Linked DNA regions of Arabidopsis thaliana. The protein of the gene in region 1 interacts with the protein of each later gene in a biochemical or structural test. Each region holds a gene or a part of one and is shown on either strand. Other genes may lie near its edges.

Region 1 (8,895 bases):
TCTTCCAAAATTCATTGCCATTTCTGAAGTATACCTTATTTATTCTCAGGTGTGGCAAGAGTTTTGGATCACTGGCGATGTTGATGGAAGAGGTGTTCCAGTATCAAATCCGAATGGACCACTAGACCATGAATTATTCCTCTTATGTGCTCGTGATACTGTCAAACTTCTGAGAAACCATCCAAGCCTGGCTCTTTGGGTGGGTGGAAATGAACAAGTTCCGCCAAAAGACATAAATGAGGCTCTAAAGCAAGACCTTAGGCTTCATTCTTATTTTGAAACCCAATTGTTATCAGACAAAGATTCAGATCCTAGTGTTTATCTTGACGGTACTAGAGTTTATATTCAAGGATCTATGTGGGACGGCTTTGCAGATGGAAAGGGGAACTTCACTGACGGCCCTTATGAGATTCAATACCCTGAAGATTTTTTTAAAGACACATATTACAAGTATGGGTTCAATCCGGAGGTCGGCTCGGTTGGAATGCCAGTTGCAGAGACGATAAGAGCGACAATGCCTCCAGAAGGTTGGACGATTCCTCTGTTCAAAAAGGGTTTGGACGGGTTTATTAAAGAAGTGCCAAATCGAATGTGGGATTATCACAAGTACATTCCATATTCTAATCCTGGAAAAGTGCATGACCAGATTCTGATGTACGGTACTCCAGAGAATCTCGATGACTTCTGCTTGAAGGTAAATTTGGGATCTTAACCGTTTTAGCCTTTACTGGTGTTGTCTTACCCTGGTGCATAAATGTTACTTTTCCCCTTAACTTAATAATGCAATGTCTATGTTCGATTAATAAAAGAAACTTGAGATCATAAGTGATATATTATGACTTGGTTTTTCCTCTGTAACAGGCTCAACTGGTAAACTACATTCAGTACAGAGCTCTATTCGAGGGTTGGAGTTCGCAAATGTGGACGAAGTACACGGGTGTCTTGATCTGGAAGAACCAAAATCCATGGACTGGTCTCAGAGGTCAATTCTACGATCATCTTCTCGACCAAACAGCCAGTTTCTATGGCTGCCGTTCCGCTGCAGAGCCAGTCCATGTACAATTGAACCTGGCAAGTTACTTTGTTGAGGTCAGTGTGATTAGTTACTCTCTCTCTCTCTGACAATCACTGTGTACGAAGGTCTCTCGAAATTAGATTCTTGATCTAAATAAGAAGTGTATAAAAGTCTAATAAATTATGTAAATAATACATGGAATCATGTCCTTTGACCCCCCGCACAGGTTGTAAACACGACTTCTAAAGAGCTGTCGGATGTGGCAATAGAGGCATCAGTATGGGACCTAGACGGGAACTGCCCATACTATAAAGTGTTTAAAATTGTCTCTGCCCCACCAAAGAAAGTTGTGAAAATATCGGAATTCAAGTATCCGAAAGCAGCAAACCCAAAGCATGTATATTTCCTTCTTCTCAAACTGTACACTGTCTCAGACAAAGCAGTTATATCCCGGAACTTCTACTGGCTGCATCTGCCTGGAAAAAATTACACACTCTTGGAGCCGTACAGGAAGAAGCAAATACCTCTCAAGATCACTTGCAATGCAGTTATGGTGGGTTCAAGATATGAGCTGGAGGTCAATGTTCATAACACATCTAGAGCTAACTTAGCCAAAAACGTTGTCCAGGAAGACGAAAAACGTGATCTGGGGTTGCTCCAGAAACTCTTTAGTAGATGTGTTGTTTCTGCAGATAGCAACCGTGGTTTGAAAGTAGTGGAAATGAAGGGATCGGATTCAGGAGTTGCTTTCTTCCTTCGTTTCTCAGTTCACAATGCAGAGACAGAGAAACAAGATACGAGGATTCTACCAGTACACTACTCAGACAACTATTTCTCACTAGTTCCAGGTGAATCAATGTCTTTTAAGATCTCATTTGCAGCTCCTACAGGCATGAAGAAGTCTCCTCGTGTTATGCTTCAGGGCTGGAACTACCCTGATAGGTTTAGTGTTTTTGGTTGAGACTATTCATGTTTCATGTTTGTTACATAACTGCCTGTAATCTCGAACCTTTCAATAAATGAAACTTGCACAGGTTTTAGCAATTTGTAGCGCACTTAAATATGCACCCGACACTCACATTACACACATCTAATACCTTCAACAACCAGTTCAGAATCATATATTCAGACCAAACCTCGTGTCTACTTTTCATCACAGCAAGATAAGAGTTACAGATATATATACTAGTTGAGCAATCAAAAATCAAAAAGCCGGAGACTTTTTGTGCAAGTCATTTTCCTGGTGATGCAAACCTCGACTTCTCTCTCTGTCGGCTCATGCCTCTGTCTCTTGGGGATGATCCCAACCCTGCTTGGCGCATGATTTCTGCAATAACATAAACCACAAGTCAACTTACCAAGCTTACAAAAAGTGGATGCTACAATGTCATGTTTCTCAACATTACATGATTGCATGTTAACAGTGGTCAATGCAAAGCGCCGAATTCTAAATTCTAAATATGTAAAACTTAAAGAGAATCTTTGACATTTTTTTGCTAGATTAATAAGAGTGACATACCTTGTCGCTTTCTTTCCAGTTCTTGATCAAGCTCTTCCTTCCACTTCTTCTCTATCTCTGACAAAGCAACACTGCAAAGCCAAAACCAGCCAATTCAAGCAGATTCAGGAATGAAACAAGAAGCCTAGACTAAGTGACAGATTTAAATCGTTGCTGGTCAATAGCTAGGCTGAATTTAAACTCTACACGTTTGGAGTTGGGTGATCATAGCTTAAGATAAGCATGAATGGGACTTATTTCTGTCTTCTTGATTCCTACCGAGTTTCTAAAAGAGGAAATTAAGGAAATGTCTAAATCCTTAAAACTTAAATCCCAATTATCGCAGCCACTAACCACTGGCTTAATTCCTGCTTAGTGTCAACAACGAGACCCCTCCAGTCTGTGACCCGTGCTGATACACCATCCTGTGAAGCTTCATCACCTCCATTGTTAATATTCAATTCACGACTACCTCCACTTCCTGGGCTCTTGGAACAACTAGTTGCGTCTGTTGCTCTTGAAGGTGAACCACCAAGAGGGCCCCGACTCGGTGACCTGCTTTTTGGAGGCAGTTTCAGGAAACCACGAGCAGTGTCCTCTCTTTTACTGTTACTTAAATTACTCTCCATACAACTGGGAGAGAATGTGATCAAACTATTGTAGAATTCTTCATAGAGAGGAGTCTGTAACTTCTTTAGATCTGCAGCCTGAGACAAATACATATTCACTGCCATGTTAGTGATTTACGTAGAAAATGCAGTGAGGACAATGAATAATGTAGTATAATGTGCATGAGGGACCTTCTCATCTAAGAAAGCTTTAATTTTTGACTCGGTCAGCTCATCATCATCCTCTGAGTATGAAGGTTGGTCACATTCCATGCTCATTGTAGACTCTTTCTCTCCATTACCAGGACTTTCGTCAAATTTGGACTTCAAAGCAATGGACATATCACTTATGTCATCACAGCTCTGTACACATAGATTTTATAAGTAATGCTTACAAAACAAATTGAAACATGATCCAAACAAGAGTTGAGACTTGATCAGCCATTGGAATTCTAAATGAGAAATCATATGTATGCTACCTTCTTCAGATGACAATCTTTTTCAAGGGTAGAACTCATTTCTCCGTCAAATGTCAAGAAATTCTCATCATCTATCAAACACATATCGTCTTCATCACCTCCATTATCATTTTGTTGCCATAAATTTTTGTTTTGGATTGATTTCACAGGATCTACAAGTGAATAATTCAAACTGCCAAAGTTACACATGTCACCTACATCGTCGCAAGTAGAATCTGGACTGAAACAAAGGAAACAGACAATAAACCATCAAAATCTTTCATAAACCCACAAAATAATCTTAGAAATTTTGGTTTCAGCCAGATATTCAGAACTTACGTGCTCTTGGTGTTATTTATCTGTAACGGTAGTGGAGTGCTAAGATTGTTCTGGAAAATAACAAAAATAATTTTATCAAGATGGCTTCAAGAAAAAGTTATATGATATTCATAAGACGGTTAACATCCACCCACCAGGACAGAACCAAGATCAGTAGAAGCAGACTCCTTGTGTTTCCCCATAACAAAAGGATGCTGCGAATAAAACAAAATCAGGAATTTTACTCAAACCTTTCCAATTTAATATTGCGGGCATCACTCAAACTATTTATACTTCACCTTTAGTAGCTCAGATGCGGTTGGCCGCAGATTTGGTACCCTGTCAAGACGGATCCAATGATTCAGCAATTCCAAAGACAAGACACAATAGTAGTGAAGGAAGTTACTATTAAAAGTTCCAAACTAATGTTGCTGAAGCAAAGTAGCTTACTCCTGCAGACACTTGAGCAGAAAATCTTTTGCATCAGAGGAGAGAGTATCAGGTATTGGAGGATGTGATTTTGTTGTTCCTATGAAGAAGATAGCAGCAACCTGAAAAGAAAGTATGTCCACTTGTAATTAAGAAGCAAAATTATTCACGAAAAAATATCACCAGAAATACGAACAAATTACCTCTTTATACTGCTGACTCCAAGGAGCCTTCCCAGTCACCATTTCAATAACTGTACAGCCGACGCTCCATATGTCAGCAGAGCTGAGAACAATAGCCACAGGTTTGTGAGAAATCAAAAATATGGGACATAAGTCACCAGGACTACAATTAATAGCCACAATTGTATGAGTATCAGTTACAAAACATCTAATTTTGCATTTACGAGCACGCTTGGTTTCTTACAAGCTATGTCCAGTTTGAAGAATAACTTCCGGAGCCATCCAATATGGTGTCCCTTTCATAGATTTTGCACCAGTCATCGTAGCCTAGAGATGAAATCAAGTCAATCACATTAAATCACTCTGAAGGATATGTTATACTAGACCAACTAAGAAATAAGAGAATACACAGAACAGAATGCTTCCTGCAATATACTTTGTAGAAAACAAATTATTTTTTGACTTACCAACTCAGCTACTTGTTTGGATGCACCAAAATCAGCAAGCTTAATGCATCCTTTATTATCCACAAGGATATTAGCCCCCTGAGAAAACATAGAAACATATAGTCTCATGGGTAAGGACTCGAGATTGTAAGCACTTATAAAGTATGGAGAAAAATTGTTACCTTAATGTCTCTGTGCATAATTGCATGATTGTGCAGGTACTCCAACCCTAAAAGCAGTTGCCTTGTGTATGTCCGGACAACCTAATTCAATCGTTCTCACCACTTAAGCAATGCACACATTGTAAGAGATTGAACAAAAAAAAATCCAAGCATGACTTACTGATTCAGGAAAAGGTCCAAATTTCTCCAAGAGCGATGATATCGATCCACCGGGAACAAACTCGAGAAGGATATTCAGGGTATCATCTTCCCTCACTGTACCCAAATATCTCTAAGGCCAGAAAATAAAAAATACCTGAGTTAGATAGATAACACAAGGAAGTGTTGAATCCGTATGCATTGAGAAGGAGACAATACCAACAGTTACTTACAACTATATTAGGATGGGAGAGATTTTTAAGAAGCTTAACTTCTTCTTCAAGCTCCTGAATATGAGCCTACTTAGCACCAACACAGATAACAAACTCAATGAAGTACAAAAATCAATGGAAATTGAAAGAGGGAAAACTCGATGAAATGGATTGTTTATGAACCTGAGTCTTTTCCTTGGAAGCAAAATTGGCTGCAATCAGAACCTGAGTAGAACAAAGCTTTTGAAGTTCAGTACACATGCCAGAGAATTAGGTCATTCAAAATTAAGTCCCAATTAGCTTCAAATCCACAGCAATCAGAAAAACAAACCCTAAATTACCTGTTTGACGGCGAGAAGCTCCCCGGAGTCAAGATTCATACCCATGTACACCGTACCAAACGCGCCGCGACCAATTAACTGACCTTTCCTCCACGAAATCGGAGGTGCCATGTCTACAGTGTTAGCAGGAGGAGGAGGCGAGAAGGAGGGTTTGATAAAAATCTTCGATTTGCGGATGCAAGAGGTGATCTTATCGGCGAGAACACCGGGAAACGGAGGCTGGTTCTCCTGGTTATCGTCGTCGGAAGAAGGACGGAAAACAAGCGATCGACGAACGGAGCCGAAGAAATCTTGCATTTGAACGATTGAGGGAAGAATGCGTTTCACTGTTACTCTAATTTTGATTCATCGGTCGGCACAAAAGTGTTAACGAGTGAGAGGGAAAAAAGGCATCGAAATTATATTTTTGAAAAGAGAAAATTACTTTACTTAAATTACGCATATTATTATTCCAAATAAAAGTATGGTTATTAGTCTTTGTAAAAAACTAAAAATACTTTCACTCGAACGAAATATATATCATAACTACGTATAATGTTTTTCCTTCATAATCCACAATTACCTGTTAGAAATTAAATTCCCTTTCAAAATCTTTACGTAAAGAAAAAAAAAAAATTAAGTCTCTTGTTGAATAAGCGAGTTTGATGACTCTTCTCATTGACTTAGACGGTTCTTCTTCCTAGGATCTTTTATTCTAATTTTCCAATGATTTTCAGGAAAACCATTGAGCTTAGCCATTTTCCTCCACTTCTCAACGTTCTTCTCCATCTTAAGATTCAAACCACAATAACCTTTCAGCTTCTTAGGCATCTTGTCGTACACTTTCCACCATCTCGCATGCACCGACTCGCTTGCATACACACGTCGCGTTTTCAAGTCCCAGTTACAATCGTAGTCTCTGTAACATCGCCATGGTTTTAGTCCCAAGTAGTGTATGCCCTCTAAATTTTCTGGAAGATTGCGCGCTTTATCATGCCTGCTTTCATCACCAAAGTATTTCATCGTATTTAAACGTTTTGATAACCTATGCCACCACACGAAATATTCGTTCAGAAATCCTTGGTCTCCCCCGTTGTATGACCCGATCTTGAATGATTTAAGCATCAAATCCTCGAATAAACAAGCTGATGGCTCCAGAACCTGAAGAAAACCAGACTTTCTTATATAAAACATATGGAAAATTCGATAAAATAAAATAGTAAGAAATGGATTGATAAGGCAATATCTTTAGAAACTTAAAAAAGTCAACATATTCAAATCAAACAATCTATTGTTAAAGATATTTGTTAGTTAGATGCATTACCATGACTCCTGAGTTGAACAAGACTTTGTTATTGCCAGCGGCAGAAAGTTGAGGATAGGAGAAAAGGTAATCAATATTCTTGACGATGATGAAGTCTGCGTCTATAAACACTAGTTTGTCGTAATCTGTCACTTGCCACACACGTAACTTACTGTAGTTCCACTCATTGTAAGAACGCTTCTTGGAAAAAGGACTACGAATTCTCTCCACTCGCCGTAGTTTCCAGCCAGCAAGGCTTAGGCCAATGAGAGAGATGTTGGTTATAGAGTCATCGTGGAGGAGAATCATGTCCTTGGTTGATCCAGATTGCCTTATGCTTTGTGCTAAGGCTATTGCTCCGCATACGTATACCTCCGATGAGTGTAGTAACGTCACGTAAGCGACACGTTGGGCAGTAAATGATGATAATGTAGTTTTTTCGGATGTGAGATTTCTGTTCTTGTCTTGTATCCATGCTTCTCCTTGACCTTTAACAACGAATAAGAAATAGTTAGCGAAACATTGGAATTTTTTAACTATGCATTATGTCATCATGCATGCGACAATAAATAAATAAATAAATGAAGAAAACATATTGACCTATGAATAATAAAGCCAAAATTACCTAGCGGAGCAATCTGACATGAACCAGGAGGCATGAGAAGCTTCTGCTTCAACCTCGTAAGATCAGGCCTATAGACCCAATAGTCCCCCACGCGCTTCACGCGCTCATCACACCTAAAGATCTCATGCATAGGCCCACAAGATCCGATGAAGACAACGTACACAGTCCGATCAACATTCCTCCGACCACTCTCCACCACAAGATTCGCTGCCGCCAGATTCACCTGTAGCCTGAAAACGTCTCTTAACCCTCTCTTCTCCGAGAAACCATCGCACGGGACTTTGACAACGACGACGTCCACGTCAGCTTCGGAACCTTCCATCTTAGGGAGAGGGACTTCTGGACAACTAGGAATGTGCCACGTGTGATCCTCGTCGATCCAAACCGGGAATAAACTCGTCCATGTCAGATTGTTCGGAAGAGGATCGAGCGACACGTGGACATTCTCCAAGATCGACGTCCCGCTTGCCTCGTAGCTCTCTCGCTCGTTCTCTGCGATGTTGAGAAGACCCACTCGGATCTTTTTCTCATCCGGAAGATAGTTTCTAATGAGTCGGAGCCATATCGGAGTCCGTTTAACCGGTTCCGGCAAAGAATAACGAATCTCAACTATCGAAGGAGAAGCGATCATGGGGTTGAGCAGAAACAGAGGTTTAAAGTTTAAGAGCAAACCCAAAAACGACAATGATATTAGTATAAGATAAAACATAAAAAATCTCGTACTCGAACTTTTGCTTTTGGCCCCCATTTTCCCCCAACTCTCTCTCTCTCTATGCTCTTAGCGATGTCTATAAGATACATGTAATGTGTACGTGAATTTTTCATAATCTCATATACATCAACGTATATGTGCGAATTCATGGGTGTATGATTGAAGAAGGATCTTGAGATGCATGGACGCACGTTGGCGTAGAAGTCAATTCGTTAGGTGAGTCTACGAATAATTGTGTAATAAACTTCCATGCGCAAGTTAGGCGCCTGTTTTGTGTTGTAATTAAGAATTAGTTTGAACAACAGGTACAGGTGTATCGGATATATATCAAATTGGTGACCAAGCTTGTGATTGTTTTGTTTTTAAATAGCGATATCAAACATTAAACAAACATTGGTAGTTCATTTATGCTTTTATAACATATTTTGTTGGCTATAGCTACGTGAATT
Region 2 (7,157 bases), about 24 Mb from region 1:
TTTTTTTTAGTTGACTAAACTTAGTTGTTTACAAGAATATTTAAGGTTTATAATTTAACGGACGTCCTTATTTTAGTAGTATATACTTTTTAATATTTTTTGGTCAGTATCTTTACATGAGAATTAAAATGTTTCTAAGTAATTTGAATTAATCAAATATCAAATTAATTAAGTTTAACAAATTTTATTTAATGTCTATTTTTTGAAGTCATATTAAGTAATTTATTTACCTAAATAAAAATAAAGTAAAGTAATTCAACTTTTCCCCCATCTAATTCAAAAAGAAGTGCCATAAAAAGGACTTATTTTCTCTAGTGTGATCTTCTGGGTCTTTCTTGTTAACAAAAGAAGACTTTAGTTACACACAATGTTTACTGAAGGCCAAAAACAAAAACCAATTCTATTTCAAATTAAAGTCAGTAAGAAGACTAAAAGAAGGGTGAAATAGACGGTCCAAGGTTTATTAGATTTTACCTTTTCATTTATTTGGGTTTTGCACAATAATACTGTATTTGTCTATTTGATGAATTTCATGAAAAGGGAACATAGAAAATTAATGGAATCCAAGGTGACACTGTCACACTACTATCATTTGTAGTATCACAATTGCCAAACTTAAAACTCCTTAAAAAAAGTCATGTACAAAATCTTATTTACCCTCATTTTTCAAATAATTAAATGACATAATTTAAAAACCTTAATTATTTACAAAATCCAAATATATATATCAATATTTCAAAACCTCTAGTTGAATAAGAGGTTTCAATCATTTGTGGTAAATTGCATAAGAGGTAATGAAAGGATGATATGATTGTATCCTTAACATTAAATTGTGAGGCTGAATTTGTTATTTTAACACAAATCATTTAAAATGTTTAATTGAATACACACTCCGAATGTATTATAAAGTAGGATTATTGCCTATCAAAAATCTTGCCTCGGTTTACAAAAAAAATAATCAAAAATCAAAAGACTGGGCTGATACACCTTAGTCTTAAAAGGAGTATTGATCCAGGCCAAATTATAGAAGGCTTCAAGTCTGTCCAAATTGAAAGTTGTATTTTGATGTATCTATTATATTTATTTAGCCCAAAGGCCTTCATTTATGTTACGCCAGCCTTGTTTTGATCGTTTGCAACTTAACACAATAGACTGTCCTTTGTTGATTCGATGTGTTCTGAAATCAACATACTTGCCAAAGTTGCCAATTAACGAAGTCGTGACAACTGAGTCCGAATTGTATAAAATGGATATGGACTACCTGTTCTTACTCACTAATTAAGCAGTATAAACATTCTTATATTTTAGGCAAATATTCTAAAAATTGGTGGAAAAAACTTATATATAGATATGTAAAATGTTGTATCGCCACTGAGGGTTCAAGCCCGCATATTGTTGACCAAAACAATCTTTCATTTTGTAATATAAAAAATGATATACTTATAAATGATATTGTATGATCTTCAAAAACATTGGTTGTTGCCTAGTATAAATCATCAAGTTGTTAAGTGTCATACTGTGCTAAGAAACATACTGTATAGTTTATATTATAATACAGTGTGTTTATAGAATACAAAAATGTCATATTGATTGGACTAGTTGTTTGCAAGAATATTTAAGGTTTCTTATTTAATATTTAATATTTTAATATCTTCTAGGTTTATATTTTATGTACTTACATGAGAATTGTTTTAATATTTATTAATAAGTATTTTTAAAATTATTAATCATATTAATTAATTTAACTGGTATTATTAATGGTTATTTATCGCCTAAACCGTTCTAAACTACATAAATTGTTCAACTTGTTCCCTATATATAAAAGAATTGCCATACATTATTATCAAAATTTTCTTTTCTGAGGGTAGAGGGAATTACTTTCTAGTTGGATATTTGTTCTACCGAAGCAAACAGTAAACAATTGTACTCAACACACAAATCTTATTTAAGGGCAAAAAAAAAAAACATTCTATTTCAAATTAAAATAAGTGACAAAAGTTATAAAAAAAGAAGAAAAAAAACTAAAAAAGGGTGAAATACAGACGACCCAAGGTTTATTAGATTTTATCATTTTATCCATTCTTTTCTTTTATTTGGGTTTTTGCAGTTTCGCACAGTAATACTGTATTTGATGAGTTTCATTAAAAAAAAAAAATAGTAAACTAGTGGAATCCTCCCATGGTCGTTGCCTTGGGTGCGTCCGGTGGTGGTGAAGGTAAAACGGTTAACGCTAATACTCCACTAATCGCCGCTGCAATTGCTGCAACGATAAACGCCGGTAAGTTTCCACCGCCGAACAAGGCGTCGAAAGGTCCACCTCCTAGTGAGACTATCATTTGTGGTATCACAATCGCCAAATTTAAAACTCCTAATGAAAGTCCTGTAAATCAAAACATCACAAAAACAATTTAAATACCTATGTTATAATTGCATAAGGTGGATGAAACCAAAATATAATAGTTACGGTCCCACATATTTGTAACTTTAGTAACTTTAATATTAAAGATGTATATATTTACCTTGGCCTGCACCGGAGCAGCTTGAGAATATGGATGCTAGAGCAAAAGGAGTACTGAAAGTAATCTGTAAATAATAAAAAACGAATCGATTAATGTTAGTTTAAGCAAAGCAAAAAGTTTTTTAACAAGACAACACAAAAGTGTACTTACAGCTAATGGGATACCAAGAACAGCAAAGAGACTTAAAGCTCCAGCTTTAACACTAGCGCTCGGTCCGGCTAAATCACCGGCGGTTTTCCGGTGATCCTCGGCGAATTTCGTAACGAGAACCGTCATGGCCAAACCAGCGGCTAGGATGAAATTGACAATACCCCAAAGCCGTTTAGCTCCTCCTAATTTCCGACCAATCCATTCAACACCAAGTGACATGAAACCAAGAACTATAGAGTTAAACATCAATCCCATTGCACCAGATTGGACTCCAAGACTGTATAGTTTCTTCGATCGTTCATTTCCATCTGAATCTCCACCGAACACTTCACGACCCATCCAATCAGTATCGAACAAAAGAAATGGGAACCAAGCGATCCAGTTTAAGGCCGTGACGATTAGAAGCATCCACATGGGACGTTTCATGACTTTGAATGCTCCAAAGATTTCACCGAACAAAGGAACGCTTGAGGTCTTCTCGTCGTCGTCGGCATTTCGCGGCGGCGGAGACCATTGTTTGTCATTAACGTACCAAAGAGACGTGACGGTGACGATGAGGAGGAGAGTGATGGATAAGAAGAAACAAGTCTTGAGATTGGCGCAATAGATATCGCAAGCTTTTGTCATTGTGAACGGAAACATCTTGTGGAGGTTAGTGTACGAACCAGCCGCATAACCCAAAACGTTTCCAACCGCCATAAAAAAAGAGAAAAACGCGTTTGCGACTCGCGTTCTCTTAGCGTCACCGGCGGCTAAGTCGGCTAAGAAAGCACGGCAAGGTCCTTGTAAGGTGTTGTTGGCTACGTCGAGGATCCAGAACCCGAGAGCAAAGATCCCTATAGCTCGAACTTTAACCTTCTCCTCGAGTTTATCTCCCATTTTATAACCGAAATCCGCAGCGTAACCGATGAGGAAAACAGCGACGGCGACGAGTGCGGCTCCGGTGGCGATGAAAGGACGACGGCGACCAAATTTGGACCTACATCGGTCACTGTGGAAACCGACGATTGGTTGAACAATCATGCCGGAGACTGGACCACAGAGCCAAATGAGAGATGACCATTTGTGAGGGATTCCGAGGAGTTGAACGTACGGAGTAAGAAGAGAGAGCTGTAAGGCCCACCCGAACTGTACACCGGCGGCGATGGAAGCGACGGAGATGATTTTACGAAGCGGAGATGGTTGATCGAAATCTTCCGGCGACTGTGTCTCTAGAGCCGCCGCATCTTTAGTTGGTTTTTCTGTTTCATAGGCTCCCATTATCAGGAAGTAAAAAAAAAAACACGAATAGACAAAATAGAAACTTTAGAGGAAAAAAAAGAAAAGAAAATTTGTTTATTTTTCTTTTTCTTTTTTTTTTTGTTTTTTTCTGTCTTCTGTTTTTTTTTTTTAAGTGAGGTTTTTGTTTTGTGATGTAGGAGATGAGAGAATGGAGTTGTATTTATAGGCGAGGAAGAAGAAGAAATGAGAGTTTTATTTTGATTTTCTTATTACACTTGGAGATGATTATTTTTCGGATAAGAGACAGAGTTAGAAATTTTAATTGTGTGAGTGTATGGCAAGGTAGGGACACGTGTCAGTTAGAACATTAACTCTCCTGTTCTTTTGTGTTCTGTTTTTACGGGAATTTAATTGGTTTCGCTTTTTTCTTGCATCAAGTGACTTGGACGTTGATTCAATTTCTCTCTCACAGTTTTTTTTTAATAAAAAAAGTTCCGATATTCAGTACCGTTTTGTTTGGGTAAACAATAAAGTTTCTATGATTCCGATTGGGTAGACAAATTTAAACAGTGTGTATATTTATATGTACTATATCACATAAGTCACATCTGATTATCGGAGAACAATTATTTTGTTTGGTTTAAAATAAATAATTGTGAATTGTCCAAATCCCTAATTTATATGGTACTAAAAGAATGAAATATCTAGAAGATACTAAGAAATGTCTTTGATTTAAGATGGAAAAACGACTTATATGCACCCTCTATACTTAAAACTCACTAGTTCATAGCACCTAATGAGATAGATGGTTCAGGGCAACATATACACTATTCTTTTTCGGACAGTGAAGTTATATTCACGATCACCTACCATAATTAATTGGCTTATCTAGCGTAATAATAGTTGTAGATCAAATCATAACATATCCGGCTCCAATTACGGTCATGGATCAAGCATCGCCAAATATTCTCTGATCATGGATTATATTTCCGCAATATTCATAGTCTGGAGATTATCACAAAAAGATCCGAGTGGCCAAACACTTTCCAAAACTAATGCACACACATTCTTATCCGAACAGTCCCAAAGATGGTATGCTATCTTTCACGTCCATATATTTTAGAACCAAATGTTATCCTTGACGTCCAAGTCTTTCGACCCAACATCAGCTTTGTAAACATTAAATTAATTTTATCATTTTTGCATTGATCACAAACTACTGAAAAATCACTTAGTTTGTATGGTGAGTTTTTTTTTCGACGAAAAGATAGTATATTTTGGCAATGTTGTTAACTAGTGATGGACTGAAGGATATCAAATTTAATTTTTTAAAAAAAAAAACATTGTGACAACAAAATAACAAATATAGAAGCATTCAATTATATATATATATATATATAAAGGGAAAATAATCAGTATTTGTCCGCCACTAATTAGTTGTTAAATTGCCTAAAATCCAATATATATATTAAAGTTTACATATTAATTAGTTTCTGTCAAATATCCAAAATTAAGCGAATTGTGTAACGGAGTTATGTGACAGAAACTTTAACCCTAAAATTTGCTTCTTGTAATGCAAGATACGATCGCAACTCAAAACTCATTTCCCATTTATTTTGGATTGTTTATCCGACCAATTAAGCATTTTAATTTTAGTCACTACATTTTTGTCTTCGAGCTGAATAGTACTCTATATACATTTTCTCCAGTTTTCAACGGGCAGACGACTTGAAAATATATTAAAATAACCAAAGCATTTACTAGTATAACTCTTGGATTTTAGTTGTCTGTGAATTAGTCTCAAATGGCTCACATGTTTGTCAACTCCTTACGTTGTCTTTCTACTCCTCAAGTCTCAACTACTTGGACGTATGTTCCATTTGTTGTTAATTTTCACTGTAGTTTCAATTATCTCTCTATTCGCTTATTTTAACTATATGAATAGGTTGTGCAAACAATTTATTTTACCCGTCTATCTGATTAGTAACACTCCAACATATTGGTTGTGAACCGAAAACTTAACTGAAATAAAACCAAATTGGTTAAGCTGTGTTTTGGGAATCGATAAAATAAGGCAGGATTCAATGTTGATAGATATATTTGGATAGAGAAAATAACAGTCAAAAATAGGCCAATGAGAGAGGATATAACTTCCGATCAACCTAAATATATAGTAATACTATCATATTAAAAAAACATTTTGCCCAAAAATAAATAAAAATAATCATATTAAAAAAAGATTATTAGTGTTTATAGTAGACACAAAGAAGAAGAAGCTATTCTTCACATAAGAAAAGAAAAGCAACGTATATTTCGAGGGCGACTTTCTCTCTATTTTCGTTTGTTTTTTTTGAATGCCTTTCGGAAAACAAATCAATATTAGTGTAACCACAGAAGAATATATCTGAAAACATAATGTCAAAAGTTTATATGGTACATTACATAATTTCAAAATATTAATGACAGAAAAATATATACAAAATATTAAAGAAGAAGAAGAAGCAAGAGTAATTATTAAGGCCACCTAAATTATCTTTTGGAATTATAGAAATATCCATAGGATACGTACTCTTTTTCGTTTATATATAAATAATCAATCTTAATTCAAGATTCAATTAGGTAGATAACCAAATTCTGGAACTTAGTTAGGTGAATGACTATGAAATATTTTATCAGAAAATACCCTCAAATGGAGTACAAATATATATATATATATATATATATATATATATATATCTTTCTATATATATAGACATATCTTTCTATATGTGATATATGCATGAGAAATTAGTTACCAAAATATAAATCATTATAAATCACCAAATGTTATGTTATATGACCTTAGCCAAATATACAGCATTAAACATCATTAACAAGGTTCAAAACATTTGCATCACTTTTTGTAGCGTTTTTATTTATTTACTCATGACTCATTAAGTAAAAGAAAAATTACATCCACTTTATGAAATAAAATCAATGTATCCCGCAAAACAAAGTGGACACTAGATCAATGCAATTCATTTCCTTATAGTTTCAGGGACATGACAATAATACAGGTAACATGAATTATTAAAATTCAAAAGGTTTTGTCAAAATGAAATTATAATTTTTTTTCCCGAAATTATAGGGTCGGGGATCGGGACCCCAAGAGAGGATTATAGTTTGTTGTAGCCTAACGAGATCGTGGTTCGCCCCATCATTATGCACTCGTAGTTGAATATGACTCGGCAATGAGTATTTTTGCTTAATTTTCTTTTAAAGTTCAAC

What was found. The genes of interacting proteins can lie anywhere in the genome.
Region 2: of the proteins of NP1 (region 1) and SUC1, one has a biochemical effect on the other in vitro, tested with the Arabidopsis thaliana proteins (one study listed by BioGRID).

What each region holds. Positions count from the first base shown.
Region 1 is NC_003070.9:2,888,340-2,897,234, reverse strand, and holds NP1 (NPK1-related protein kinase 1), read right to left. Parts: upstream 6,215-8,895; 5' UTR 6,125-6,214; coding exon 5,828-6,124; intron 5,712-5,827; coding exon 5,670-5,711; intron 5,574-5,669; coding exon 5,508-5,573; intron 5,408-5,507; coding exon 5,297-5,407; intron 5,218-5,296; coding exon 5,137-5,217; intron 5,054-5,136; coding exon 4,976-5,053; intron 4,836-4,975; coding exon 4,753-4,835; intron 4,612-4,752; coding exon 4,530-4,611; intron 4,449-4,529; coding exon 4,348-4,448; intron 4,237-4,347; coding exon 4,197-4,236; intron 4,113-4,196; coding exon 4,053-4,112; intron 3,969-4,052; coding exon 3,919-3,968; intron 3,821-3,918; coding exon 3,601-3,820; intron 3,485-3,600; coding exon 3,314-3,484; intron 3,221-3,313; coding exon 2,868-3,220; coding exon of another isoform or gene 2,840-2,867; intron 2,606-2,839; coding exon 2,535-2,605; intron 2,343-2,534; coding exon 2,248-2,342; 3' UTR 2,053-2,247; downstream 1-2,052. Other genes in the region: AT1G09010 (glycoside hydrolase family 2 protein), read left to right, coding at 50-694, 862-1,089, 1,242-1,976; PGSIP5 (plant glycogenin-like starch initiation protein 5), read right to left, coding at 6,482-6,967, 7,131-7,597, 7,735-8,482. UniProt on the Arabidopsis thaliana protein: May be involved in an oxidative stress-mediated signaling cascade that phosphorylates downstream MAP kinases MPK3 and MPK6. May suppress auxin signaling that promotes cell cycle.
Region 2 is NC_003070.9:27,051,106-27,058,262, reverse strand, and holds SUC1 (sucrose-proton symporter 1), read right to left. Parts: upstream 4,234-7,157; 5' UTR 3,930-4,233; coding exon 2,670-3,929; intron 2,584-2,669; coding exon 2,520-2,583; intron 2,381-2,519; coding exon 2,163-2,380; 3' UTR 1,799-2,162; downstream 1-1,798. UniProt on the Arabidopsis thaliana protein: Responsible for the transport of sucrose into the cell, with the concomitant uptake of protons (symport system). This transport is both voltage- and energy-dependent.